3 linked regions of the Arabidopsis thaliana genome follow. The protein of the gene in region 2 interacts with the protein of the main gene of each other region in a pairwise test. Each region holds a gene or a part of one and is shown on either strand. Other genes may lie near its edges. The genes, in order: RSR4, PDX2 and PDX1.1.

Evidence for each region.
Region 1: the proteins of PDX2 (region 2) and RSR4 interact in a two-hybrid assay, tested with the Arabidopsis thaliana proteins (one study listed by BioGRID).
Region 3: the proteins of PDX2 (region 2) and PDX1.1 interact in a two-hybrid assay, tested with the Arabidopsis thaliana proteins (one study listed by BioGRID).

Annotation. Positions count from the first base shown.
Region 1 is NC_003076.8:171,389-175,528, forward strand, and holds RSR4 (Aldolase-type TIM barrel family protein), read right to left. Parts: upstream 2,276-4,140; 5' UTR 2,118-2,275; coding exon 1,188-2,117; 3' UTR 501-1,187; downstream 1-500. Other genes in the region: AT5G01420 (Glutaredoxin family protein), read right to left, coding at 3,498-4,140. UniProt on the Arabidopsis thaliana protein: Catalyzes the formation of pyridoxal 5'-phosphate from ribose 5-phosphate (RBP), glyceraldehyde 3-phosphate (G3P) and ammonia. The ammonia is provided by PDX2.
Region 2 is NC_003076.8:24,336,079-24,340,409, forward strand, and holds PDX2 (pyridoxine biosynthesis 2), read right to left. Parts: upstream 2,725-4,331; 5' UTR 2,570-2,724; coding exon 2,390-2,569; intron 1,897-2,389; coding exon 1,809-1,896; intron 1,742-1,808; coding exon 1,668-1,741; intron 1,415-1,667; coding exon 1,223-1,414; intron 1,123-1,222; coding exon 1,025-1,122; intron 932-1,024; coding exon 796-931; 3' UTR 545-795; downstream 1-544. Other genes in the region: GRIK2 (geminivirus rep interacting kinase 2), read left to right, coding at 4,057-4,331. UniProt on the Arabidopsis thaliana protein: Catalyzes the hydrolysis of glutamine to glutamate and ammonia as part of the biosynthesis of pyridoxal 5'-phosphate. The resulting ammonia molecule is channeled to the active site of PDX1.
Region 3 is NC_003071.7:16,009,207-16,013,015, forward strand, and holds PDX1.1 (pyridoxine biosynthesis 1.1), read left to right. Parts: upstream 1-2,026; 5' UTR 2,027-2,268; coding exon 2,269-3,198; 3' UTR 3,199-3,309; downstream 3,310-3,809. Other genes in the region: APD3 (RING/U-box superfamily protein), read left to right, coding at 111-203, 280-362, 464-616, 709-784, 891-1,140, 1,257-1,332; AT2G38240 (2-oxoglutarate (2OG) and Fe(II)-dependent oxygenase superfamily protein), read right to left, coding at 3,517-3,765. UniProt on the Arabidopsis thaliana protein: Catalyzes the formation of pyridoxal 5'-phosphate from ribose 5-phosphate (RBP), glyceraldehyde 3-phosphate (G3P) and ammonia. The ammonia is provided by PDX2.

The sequences.
Region 1 (4,140 bases), about 24 Mb from region 2:
TAAATAGGCCAATGTGCAGTAATAATGGGCCGATGTGGGCCTATTTCGATTGATATTTAAATTGTATCCGTGTTTCTGGTCTTACCGGAGTCTTTTTGGACAAAATGCGAGTGATGTGCAATCAAATCACATTTACAATTTGGTTAAGTTTTGTTTGATTTTGGTTGATCTCGGTTAACAAAATTAACCTGTTAGTAGTGAGAACCTTTTGAACTTTGAAGTAATGCTCTTTGGAGAAATTGGATCCGGCAGAGCCAAGAGCTTAGAGGCTGAAGTCAAGGGATATATACTCGTATCCCTAAGTCATGGTGTCGTGTAAGACCTTCAAGAACTCGATTTTGAACAAAAGAGCTCTATGGATTCCGATGATCGTATGCTACTACCGCGCATGAGATCTGAAATCCCATAGCTAGAAGAGCCCCATGGATTTTCAAAGCTAGAAGAGTGAGTCCCATGGATTTTCAAAGCTAGAGGACTCTTATGGATTTTAAAAGCTAGAAGAGTCCCATGAACTCTTCTCCTTTACTAATCACACATTAACATAGCATTTCATAAAAACCAATTTACAATGCAAACATAGCTGCAAAGAACCCCCCATAAACCATAATCCACACATCATGAAATCGATGATTAGTACTCGTTAACAACAAAGAAAACTCAACTCATATTATCTTCCTTTGTTAGGTTGACAGCTATGCCTGAAATCACAAATTTAAAATAAGAACTAGAGGCTATGTGAATCTAATCCAGGACAGTTCTTCAAAACCAAATCCAATACTCAAAGTCTCAAACATCTACAGAGCTCAGTACCAGTGTACGAATTCCCAAATTAAACAAGTTCATCCTTTGTTTATCAACCTGATACTACTAAGTACTAATAGGCCTGTCTGAAATGTAATTGAACAACAAGCTCAATGGTCAATACCAATGGATCGAAGAATATATCAGATTCAAAACCAACTGATCGATCAAGAGAGTAGTACATTATTATAACTGACAAACTTGTTCTTGCAAAGGGATTACGAGTTACAATAACAAAAGACTATCAAAGATTATAAGGAAAACACAAAGGATACAAACTACCAACAATATCATCATCTTCTTCTTTTCAAAGAGATTACTGCAAAATGGTCTGAGAAAATTCTGAAACCATTTCGTCTGAGATATTTTACCTTTTATTTCTTTGATCACTCGGAGCGATTAGCGAACCTCTCAACCTTCTCATCGTTGAGATTGATCCCAACCATGGCTTCTCCAAGCCCACAGCTCACCTCCACAAGCATCTCAGGGTCACTGTAATGAGTCACAGCCTGAACAATGGCACGTGCACGACGAGCTGGGTCACCGCTCTTGAAGATACCAGAACCAACAAAGACACCATCACATCCAAGCTGCATCATGAGAGCTGCATCAGCCGGAGTAGCCACTCCACCGGCGGCGAATTGGACTACAGGAAGACGACCAAGCTGCTTAGTCTGCATCACGAGATCGTACGGAGCGGCTAATTTCTTAGCGAAAGTGAAAACCTCATCATCATCCATGTTTCGCAAAACCCTAATGTCACCATTAACAGACCTCACATGCCTCACAGCTTCAATAATGTTACCGGTTCCAGCTTCACCTTTGGTCCTAATCATCGCCGCACCTTCACGGATCCTCCTCAGAGCCTCGCCGAGATTCCGGCAACCGCAAACGAACGGGATCCGGAAATTATGCTTGTTGATGTGATGATCTTCATCAGCAAGAGTCAAAACCTCGCTCTCATCGATGTAATCGATTCCAATTGCTTCAAGGATCTGAGCTTCAACGAAATGACCAATCCTAGCCTTAGCCATCACCGGAATCGTAACGGCTTGTTTGATTTCTTTAATCATTTGTGGATCGCTCATACGAGCGACGCCTCCTTGAGCGCGGATATCAGCAGGAACACGCTCCAAAGCCATGACGGCGCAAGCACCAGCCTCCTCGGCGATACGAGCTTGCTCGGCGTTGACGACATCCATGATAACACCACCACGGAGCATCTGAGCCAAACCGACCTTCACGGAGAAGGGAGATTTCTTCGCCTCCGTTATCGCACCGTTACCGTACACCGCCACAACGCCGGTTCCTTCCATTATCGGAGATTGAAGAGAAATTTGTGTGGAGAAAATGGAAGAGAGATTTGGGAATGGTGAAGCGATTTCTGGCCGGTCCTCGTTTATCTATGGATCGGCTTTATAGTGAGAGTTTGTGGCGGTGTGAATAAAAGCTAAAATAATAAAATAGATGTTTTTCTCTATTTTTATTAATTAAATAGAAACTCCTTAATTATTGAATTTTTAATTTTTATTTGGGAAAGTGTGGGATTTTGTTGTGATCGGACGGTCAAGATTAAAACACAATTTCGATTTTTCGATTAACACATGTTTAGTGGACTGCATTTTAAGATTTTAGCCAACTAAACTAGAGGTTTTGACAAGAAAAAATGAGTCGTCCGGAATTGGATTATAAAAGTGTTAAATGCATTGTTAATGATGTTTTAAAACGTTTTCACAATTTATTTTTTCTTATTTTAAATAGATTTTAGGGAAAAAATTTTGGAAAAAAATCTTCTGACACAAAGAAATGTAACTGGACCTCATAGAATCCACGACTGTCGCTCTAGTCCGCATTAATTGTTGCATAAAAGACAAGGAGAAAAAATGTTAGCAGAAAATGAATTGCACGCTTTTGGAAAAAATGTTATGGAAAGCATCATTTTCTTCATAACAAACATCTTTATATTTCTTTATCAAACAATTTACAACCAATCGTTTTGGAATGGGATTTTTAAGATACTACATTTGGGAGTAGGAGAAATTCATTTTTATACAATAGTACGTTAAGTTTTATAATCCTAGAAAAAAAAATTTGAAATAAAGGAAAAAATCTCTTAAAAAGAAAATCTAAAAATAGCAGTTTGTGATGATAAAAGTAAATAGAGAAATAGGCGGCTGTGGTTGAAAAGGAAGGCCCGCCTCTCCTTTGCAATCAGTAGATTTGTCCACTCAGCCGACCCTGGCGGCCCAACTTGCTCTTTTGACTACTTCACTGTAACTATACCATTCAGATATTTAAGTATTTGGCAATTCATCGAATTAGTGAATACGTTTTGTTAAGTGGTTGATCGATGATTAAATCAAATAATAAGGGTAAATTCTCAAATAAATGTAGTTTATGGATGACAATCTTAGTGGATGTTGCAAAAATTTTGCTACTAACACCGGTATGTTAATCTTTATACACATCATATATAATTATAAACATTAACAAATGCTATAAATTTAGTGCAATTCGTGTCAATAATTCAAACTCTTTTTTAAGGCAATAATAACTTGAGATTTGTGTAGAAACAACCATATGATATAACTGATGACCATATTTATTTTCTGTATAAAAAAATCGTTACAATACTAAGAAAAATAATAAACGAATAATGTAATTTGATATATATAGACCAAACAAAAAAAATGGTATTAGGAGCAACCAACGCACACAATTAACCCATTCTCATTACATATCAAACACTGAATTCTTGATCCATCACCAGAGATAATCCGGCGACTACCTCTGCATCCATCACACATCAAAAACCTAAAACCATCGCACCGCCGGCAACGTTCATCTCCGGTGATTGGAATGCCCTCAAAGAGAATCTTAAACTTCCCTTGCTCGTGCAGTCCCAACACTCTCTGAGCTCCACCGATACACCTTCCTTTTACGAACAGAACCGGAGGCAACACCTCTGTTTCCGCCGCTGAGATTCGTCGGAGCTCTTCTCTATACTCTCTATGCATCGACACATCTCTCTCGTAGTACTTAACCTTAAAACTATCCAGCAGAAATCGGATCATGTTGCAATCGTCGAACGTTTTTCTGATTCCTCGAAGAGTCGTTGTGTAGAAAACAACGGATTCCTCTCCTCCCGGAGGACACCGTTCCTCGAATTCCAACAACGGATCCATAAGGGTATTTCCGTCTTTTCCAATGTCTTCTTCTCCGATGACTTCTTCCCTGATCGCATTTACAATCTGAAGGGCATTTCCATCATCTTTGTGAAGAACGACGACATTTTCGTCTTTCCGTCTATACTCTACGACGCTAATCACCGGAGGAATG
Region 2 (4,331 bases):
CTTCATTTGTTCCCAGTTGAATTATATTAGCAATTTACTATGAGAAAACAGGGTGAAGTTAGTATTCATTTAGTTGACAAAAAATAATAAAAAAGGGTGAAAATTTTGGTTATCGATACAATAAATTTGAAAAATCCGGTCTGTATATCTTTCTATACACTATATATACAAATTTGAAAATTTTCTCTATTTTCTGAAGAAAAACAAAATTAATTCTTGATGGCTTTATGTGCAAGGAAACGAGTATCTAGAACGTGAGGATGCCTTAAATGAAGAAGAAAGCCCTCATGTCTTAACATATCTGTAAATGTGTGCATTTTAAGTAACTTTTCTTGACTTTCATTGGCCCAAAGCCGCCCACTACTACAAGATTGCACCCTTTCGAGAAAGCAATGAAAAGTCAAACGCGTCAAAGTCAGCTGACTGGTTTACTATAAACCGGGTTAGCTTCTAAACCATTGAACCAAAACCCTACCGAGTTATACTTTCAGAGCATGTTCTGTTCTGCCTATAAACGCTGACAGTTATCTAAAGCTTAATTCTTGGCCAAACGACCTTTCACATTTCACAAGACATAGACCAAATTGAATCAGCAAAAAAGTTTGAGATTCAACTGTATATATAAAGTTGTATCAAGAAACAAGTACATGAATCCATTAAAGAGTCTTGTGAAACTTTCTTGAGTGCAAATTGCAAACTAGCTTGCAATTTTTCCAAAACATCTTTAGAAAGATAAAGAATCTGACACTTTCTCTGGTTTTTATTTTAAGAAGTGTGTATCTTCTCTCTGTTCAGTTATTGAAATATAGGAAGATCAGGCTTAGCTGGCTCGGGACCAGCACTTGTTTCTCCAACAGATACAATAGTCTTACTACTGCTTGAAGAAGCTCCTTGCTCAATCTCTTTCGTCATCTTTATGAAATAACTGTGCCTGCAAAAAAAATGAAACCGGAAAGAGTAAAAACAGACCATATAGATCATTGCTGCAAATATCAAAAGATCGGGGAAAATGTTAATCAATTACCATCGAGTGTCTGCAGTAAGCTCGGGATGAAAAGCAGTTGCTAACAAGTTTCCTTGCTTCACAGCAACAATGACTTTTGTTTCAGGAAGAGCATCTTCCTGATTTATCCCCAAAAAATGAAACCAACAAGAAGGGATTCATACATGTGCTCACAAAAGAGTAATCGTTTCATGAAAATTAGTGCAAAATTAAGCAAACCTCTTGAATTTGTACGGTGGAGCTTGAATACAAGACCTTGTTTGATGGGACGGGATAATCCGCCAGGACTTCGACATCAGGACCTACATCAAGAACAGCTGGAGCACGTATGAACACTCCCCTGTATGTCTCTGGCCCACCTTCTTGAGATGTTAGTTGAGGTACTAAGATATCAGCTTCAAAACTTTGAATCTACACATCAAAAACAAATTCGAGAACAATCTAAGATTTTCACAACATCTTATTTGATACTAAGAGTGAATGAGAATCCATATGAAATTACTCCCATTGATTCATGAAAAGACCGAGTTTTATATATCAGTACACCACAACTCATGCTAATATAAGCAGTTTCTTTTTCCACATATTGCAAGTCAAGATTGATTTAAATATGTGTTTACACATTTTCTTAACATGAACCCGGAATCTTGGTAAGAGACATAACCTGGCTACCGAAGAAGTTCCTATGTACGGTGCAATCAAGGCCACCAACTAATTCCTGACCTCCCTCTTTCTGACCTAAAATTTCAACATTTACTCAAGTTTCTAAATTTTCCGCAACAGGAAGATGAATTCAAGTACTCACCAACTGCTCTGTCTGCCAAGAATATAAGACCTGCGCATGTCCCCCAAACAGGTTTCCCCATCTTAACAAACTCACGTAGAGCCGGAAACTTCAAAAGAGCAACAAATGAAAGAAAATTAGAACAGAGAAGAGACATTTTACACTATTCTTCGTCCTCACCACTAAAACTGTAAAAACAACCAAATCTAAACAAGGAGTTTGGTAAAGATAAAAGTAAATGATAGCTCTCCCTTTCCTACACTTATCACAGCTTCCATTAAAGACAGAAAATATCATCCATAAGATCAACGAGTAGTTTGGTCCACAATGTTTAAAGGTTTCAGATACAAAACATTACTTCATGTACTTGAAGGCTAACTAATCCCAAAGTTCCTTCATTTTCAATCTCAAAGCTAATTACTTTCAACAGTACTAACTGAATTATTCAGGTATAAGAGACGTTTTGACTGAAATTCTGGAGAATTTTGGTGAATAACGCCAGATTCGTGTCAAAACACACATAAAAAAGGAACCTTTAACTAGTTTCTTCAAGTGGGTCCTCGCAAACAATAACTTTAGATTCTAGAGAGAGAGGAGCGGACCAAGTTATGATACTCGGCGAGTTTGGCCATGGTGGTGCTCTCGCCGCCAGGAATGATAAGAGAAGAAACGGTGAGAAGCTGGTCAGCCTTCCTAATCTCGACGCCTTGGACACCGAGCCGCCGCAGAGCCGCGATGTGCTCATTGAAAGAACCTTGCAAAGCTAAAACTCCGACGGTCATTGCGGCGGCGACGGTCAAAGAAAGAGAGTGTCAGATATTATTAAACACTAAAACTTTGTGAATGGAATTGGGACACTCACAAAAGCCTTTTTGTAACAGCCATCGACGATTTTGTTTTGTGTTTCTTTCTTTGCCCACGATTTGGATTTCTATTCAGATATTTTCTTATAATAACATTTTTAAATATAAAGATATCACGGTATTAATAACTATTGTGAACAAATTCAATTAAAAAGCCATAAACAATTATGCTAACAAAACAAAAATATACACTTATTAAGCTTTTATGTGATTATAATTCAAATTCTCTAGGAAAAATTGTAATCTATTTTACAAAATTTTAAAGATGATGATATAATATTATATATACACACAAAAAAAAACTTATAGTAAAGGTAGGTTTTCAAAAACTCATAATGTGTTTTTTTTTATTAGTAGTAATTTTATTGTTTTCTAACCACTGAATTTAGTTTATAGCATGTTTTGTCACATTAGCTGGTGATGATTTAATATAAAACTACTTTTTATAAAAGTAATTGACAAAACAAAAAATATAAACCCCAAAAAAAAAAAAACAGAAGGGGGAGAGAATCTCGATCAAAGGCTTCGAAGCTCTCTCTTTTTTTTTTGGTGTGTCTAAATCTCTCACGCACGACGTTGAGAGAGCTCTTTCCTTTGCGATCTTGTTGTCTTCCTCTGCTCCGATCGAATTCACAACCAGCTTTAATGTATGATTCTCGCTCTTACCTTCAGTTTATGTTCCGAATCTTCTCATGAAATTTCCATTGCATCCGATTTCGAAATTAGGTTTTTTTTTTTCAATTTTCAAAATTTTGGTTTGTGATTTATGTGATTTTGAAGCCACCTTCTTGGGGGTTCTTAAGTTTGCTGTAGAATTTTATTGTTCTTCTCTCCGTCTTTGTTTCTTTGCTTAGAGTTGACTATTTGGATTGAAAAAGTTTACACCTTTACGCCTGAATCATAATACCCACAATGTGATTGACTTATCTACACAAGCTTTTGAATTTGATGAGAATTTGACCTTTTCTTTTTTCGCAGAAGCATTGTAGTTCAACTTGAATTTATTGGCGGTTGTTGAAGCTGTGTAGCTATTAACAATTGGGGCTATGCATTCAACGATTTTCTGCTCGTGAAGAAGGAATATAACTTATTTATAAGGTTTCAGTCTTAGACATGTCGTGTTTCGATTGCAGTGGTTATGATGTCTCAAGTTGTCTTATTCATCTCGCTGAATGGCATCCTTTGGAATAGTCAAGTTCTCCGGGCTTGAAGCCCTCGAAACCCCTTTTATCGCGGGGTAAGATTTCGATTTCTACAGAGGTTCTTGTGTTTAATTATTTGGATGCTTAATGTTGATGTCACTTTTTTTTTTGTGTGCAGGTTCCTCAGTTAACTTGAGGATTTTATATTTCATCATACATTTGAGGAGCAATTTGTTTTTTTATTTTATTTTTGAGAAGGAGATCATGTTTCGTGATAGTTTTTTGTTTGCCCGTACCATCGGTTGCTTTGGATGCTTTGGCAGTTCTGGTAGTAGAAACCAACAATCGCCTAAGCCCTACGATGATGATACACATTCCTGTGATAGTGATGTAACTAGCACTGCAAGAGGAGAAGAAGAAGAAGATGAAGAAGAAGTAGAGCAGAAGAGCCGCTCTAAACGATCTGAGGAAATTTTGAAATATAGATTAGATAATGGATTAATCTGCAGACACATTCCAGTGAGAGAAACTAATGAACT
Region 3 (3,809 bases), on a different chromosome or scaffold from region 2:
ATAACTTTGAGTGAAGTAAGAGGAAATAGAGGAAGTAGAAGTGTTAATGTTAGTGAGTTTTTTTTGTTTGAAAGTATTGCCTTTTAGGGATATAAACTGACTATGTTAAGGCTCTCAAGTTATAGGAATGCCATTCTTCTATCGGTCGTCGCTGAAGGATATTGCATTTCGTGACACCGCTTGGTCATGGAATCTAATTCAGGGTTAGTCAAATGGAAGTTCCTGCTTAAGATGCATTGATTACATTGCTTATCATGAGTTAATAAAAGTTCTTTACAGGGAGTGGTATGATTCAATTGGATATAAGTAAGTCTAAAGGTTATTATCTTACTGTGGCTAACTTGAAGAGGAAGGACATAGAGGTAATTATAATCAAGTTATGACTTTGGATTAAGTTTTGGTTTCTGTTGTGTTTCTGCACAGTCCACAGTACACTGTTTTACTTGACATAATGTTTGTTCAGGTGGAACTGGATATTGATGTGAAGGCTGTCTTGTATGATACTAAACAAACATCCTACAATTGTTCCTTCAGCAATGGCGAGTGCTCATTCAAAATGAATGAAAGGTACCCTGTTGAAAATTATGCTGTCGTAACTTCACCAGCACTGGGTCAGGTATGTACTCGTAATACGAAACACTAACAATATTGTTACTGTTATTATTATTATGACTCTTAGCTGAATGAATGTTTGTCTCACTGCCTTAGGGAGTATCCATCGATGATGAATGGTATATCGAGTTGTCATATCAACCTAGATTGATTGCATATGGAAGCTTCACAGGTAAACTTTTCAATCTTTTCAAAGTCAACTTGATTATTGGATTTGAGCATTTGTTAGTTTCTCTGTAACAAGGAAGCAATTACATGTAGTATTATTGCGTATGCAGGTGTGTTGCTTTCCTTCATGCTGGTAGCTATACACTTCTGCAACAAGTTAAAGTGCTGTGGTGGAGAGGGATTTTTATCCGGAGATGATTCAGTGAGAACATGTCTACTTGCAGACAAAGGTGACAATGATTGTTGTAATGATGTCGAAGCAAGTAACAAAAGTCTCTGTGCCATTTGTTTTGATGCTCCAAGAGATTGTTGTTTCCTCCCGTGTGGCCATTGCGTCTCCTGTTACCAATGCGGAACAAAGTAAGTTTTTTATCAACTAAGTACAACTTCTGGATTGCATAATTGTAATGGTAATGTGTTTACCATATTGGGATTGATCTAAAATATTGAACGTTGTGATTTGACAATATTTGCAGGATAAAAAGAACCAAGGGGAGGTGTCCAATATGTCGAAAGAAAATGATACATGTGAAGCGAATCTATACAGCTTAAGATGTATCATTATCTGTCCAATGTGATGTTGAATCGTTAGAGCATTAATAAAAATCATATAATTTGATATTGACAAGGCTCAGGTCTTTCTTTGCATTAATTCGTTTCATCTCTTAACCATCTTTGTGACAACATCATTGGTTAACTACCATAGGGTAGGCAATATAGTGAACCATTGTTTGTTGACTCACATCACAAAATGGTTCGAAACCCGAATCGATAATTAAGGATTTCATAAATTAATTGTTAATTTCTGAATAAATTCGGATTTTGTATATTTCCTCCGTTTCGTAATATAAGTAGTTTTGGACCAATTTTTTTGTTTCACAACATAAGTTGTTTTTAACTTTCTATGTAAATAATATATTATTTTAATATTTTTTGATTATTTATATTATGTAATCTCTTTTATGATTAGCTAAACTTTTTAAAAATAAATATTTTTAATTTGCATATTTTTATTTAAAACAACGTATATTGTGAAATGGAAAGAGTATAAATTATTGATTAAATAATTAAGGACTGTAATTTATTTTATTAAATTTAATATTCTTTTCCAAATTCTCCACATATTTTATACCATAAAAAAAGAACAACACCCTTACACACATAACATATCCGAATCAGTGGTTCTTCGACATCACACGATGGTATAGGGAAATGAGCTTCCACGTCAACAAGATAATAATCTCTTCGGGACTATACATTTACAACAAAAAGAAACAAATCTTGTGGTCAAAGTTTCCATACGTAGCTTCTCTTCTCTACACTCACGTCCACCACAATCCTCGTGCTCCTTCCTCTAAACCCGTCCGATTCACGTACTTTTACTATCTTTTCTCAATCCAACAGCTCACAGTCCACAAACAAATTTCAAATCGCGTCCTATAAAATCCCCTCTCCTCTGCTCCACACTCTCTCAAAACCCTAGAAAAAATGGCAGGAACCGGAGTTGTGGCGGTGTACGGCGAAGGAGCCATGACGGAGACGAAACAGAAATCTCCCTTCTCCGTGAAAGTTGGTCTCGCTCAGATGCTTCGTGGCGGTGTAATCATGGATGTCGTCAACGCAGAGCAAGCTCGAATCGCTGAAGAAGCTGGCGCATGCGCCGTGATGGCTCTTGAACGTGTTCCCGCCGATATTCGAGCTCAAGGCGGTGTTGCTCGAATGAGCGATCCAGAGATGATCAAAGAAATCAAAAACGCCGTGACGATTCCGGTGATGGCGAAAGCTAGAATTGGTCATTTCGTTGAAGCTCAGATCCTGGAAGCAATCGGAGTTGATTACGTCGACGAGAGTGAAGTTCTCACTCTCGCCGACGAAGATAATCACATCAACAAACATAATTTCAAAATCCCTTTTGTTTGTGGATGTAGGAATCTCGGTGAAGCTTTAAGGCGGATCCGTGAAGGAGCCGCCATGATAAGAACCAAAGGTGAGGCTGGAACTGGTAACGTTGTTGAAGCCGTTAGGCACGTGAGGAGTGTGAACGGAGCTATTCGGTTACTTAGAAGCATGGACGATGACGAGGTTTTCACTTACGCGAAAAAGATCGCTGCGCCGTATGATTTGGTTGTGCAGACTAAGGAGCTTGGGAGGTTACCGGTGGTTCAGTTCGCTGCTGGAGGAGTGGCGACGCCGGCGGATGCGGCGTTGATGATGCAGTTGGGATGTGATGGAGTGTTTGTTGGGTCGGGTGTTTTCAAGAGTGGAGATCCGGTGAAGAGGGCTAAGGCTATTGTTCAGGCGGTTACGAATTATAGAGACGCGGCGGTGTTGGCGGAGGTGAGCTGTGGTTTAGGTGAAGCCATGGTTGGTCTTAATTTGGATGATAAGGTTGAGAGGTTCGCTAGTCGTTCTGAGTAACCAATCAAATTTCAGATGTTTTTATCCATAACGTTTGTCACTTTAATATGTATCCACAAACCAATATTCTCGATTTATTCAAGATTTTATAGAAAAAAATTGGAAATGAGGAGTTTTGTTGGCTAGTGTGGCCAACCATAATTTCATTGGATTAATGGCAAATTCTACAACTAAACTATGTGAAATTAACAATATCAAACCTCAAGAGAGAGCAGCAATATAATAAGAAAAAGTGAAGATACGGTTTACATATTATTTAGTAACGACTATATCAAGGACATAGGAATAACAGATAATACTTGGAATGTTTATCAATTATTATCTAGTTAATAACAGTGAGTCGACTTGGTTTTTTCCACAAGGACCCTTTTGCCTTATCAGAGAACGGTACTCGTCGAACCTGATTGGTTTATAAAGAGCAGGTCGGTTTGCAGTTACTAGTTCTTCGATTGGTCCAACCGGGATATCACTTCTCGGGTTATAGAAGAATGCCAAAGAGACTCGTTCCATACCGGAATTAACGATCACTTGATGTTCCACGCTTTTGTAAATTCCATTGCTAAGTATCTACACATTGATATATCCATCGGTTAGTATTTAATTTGTAGAGT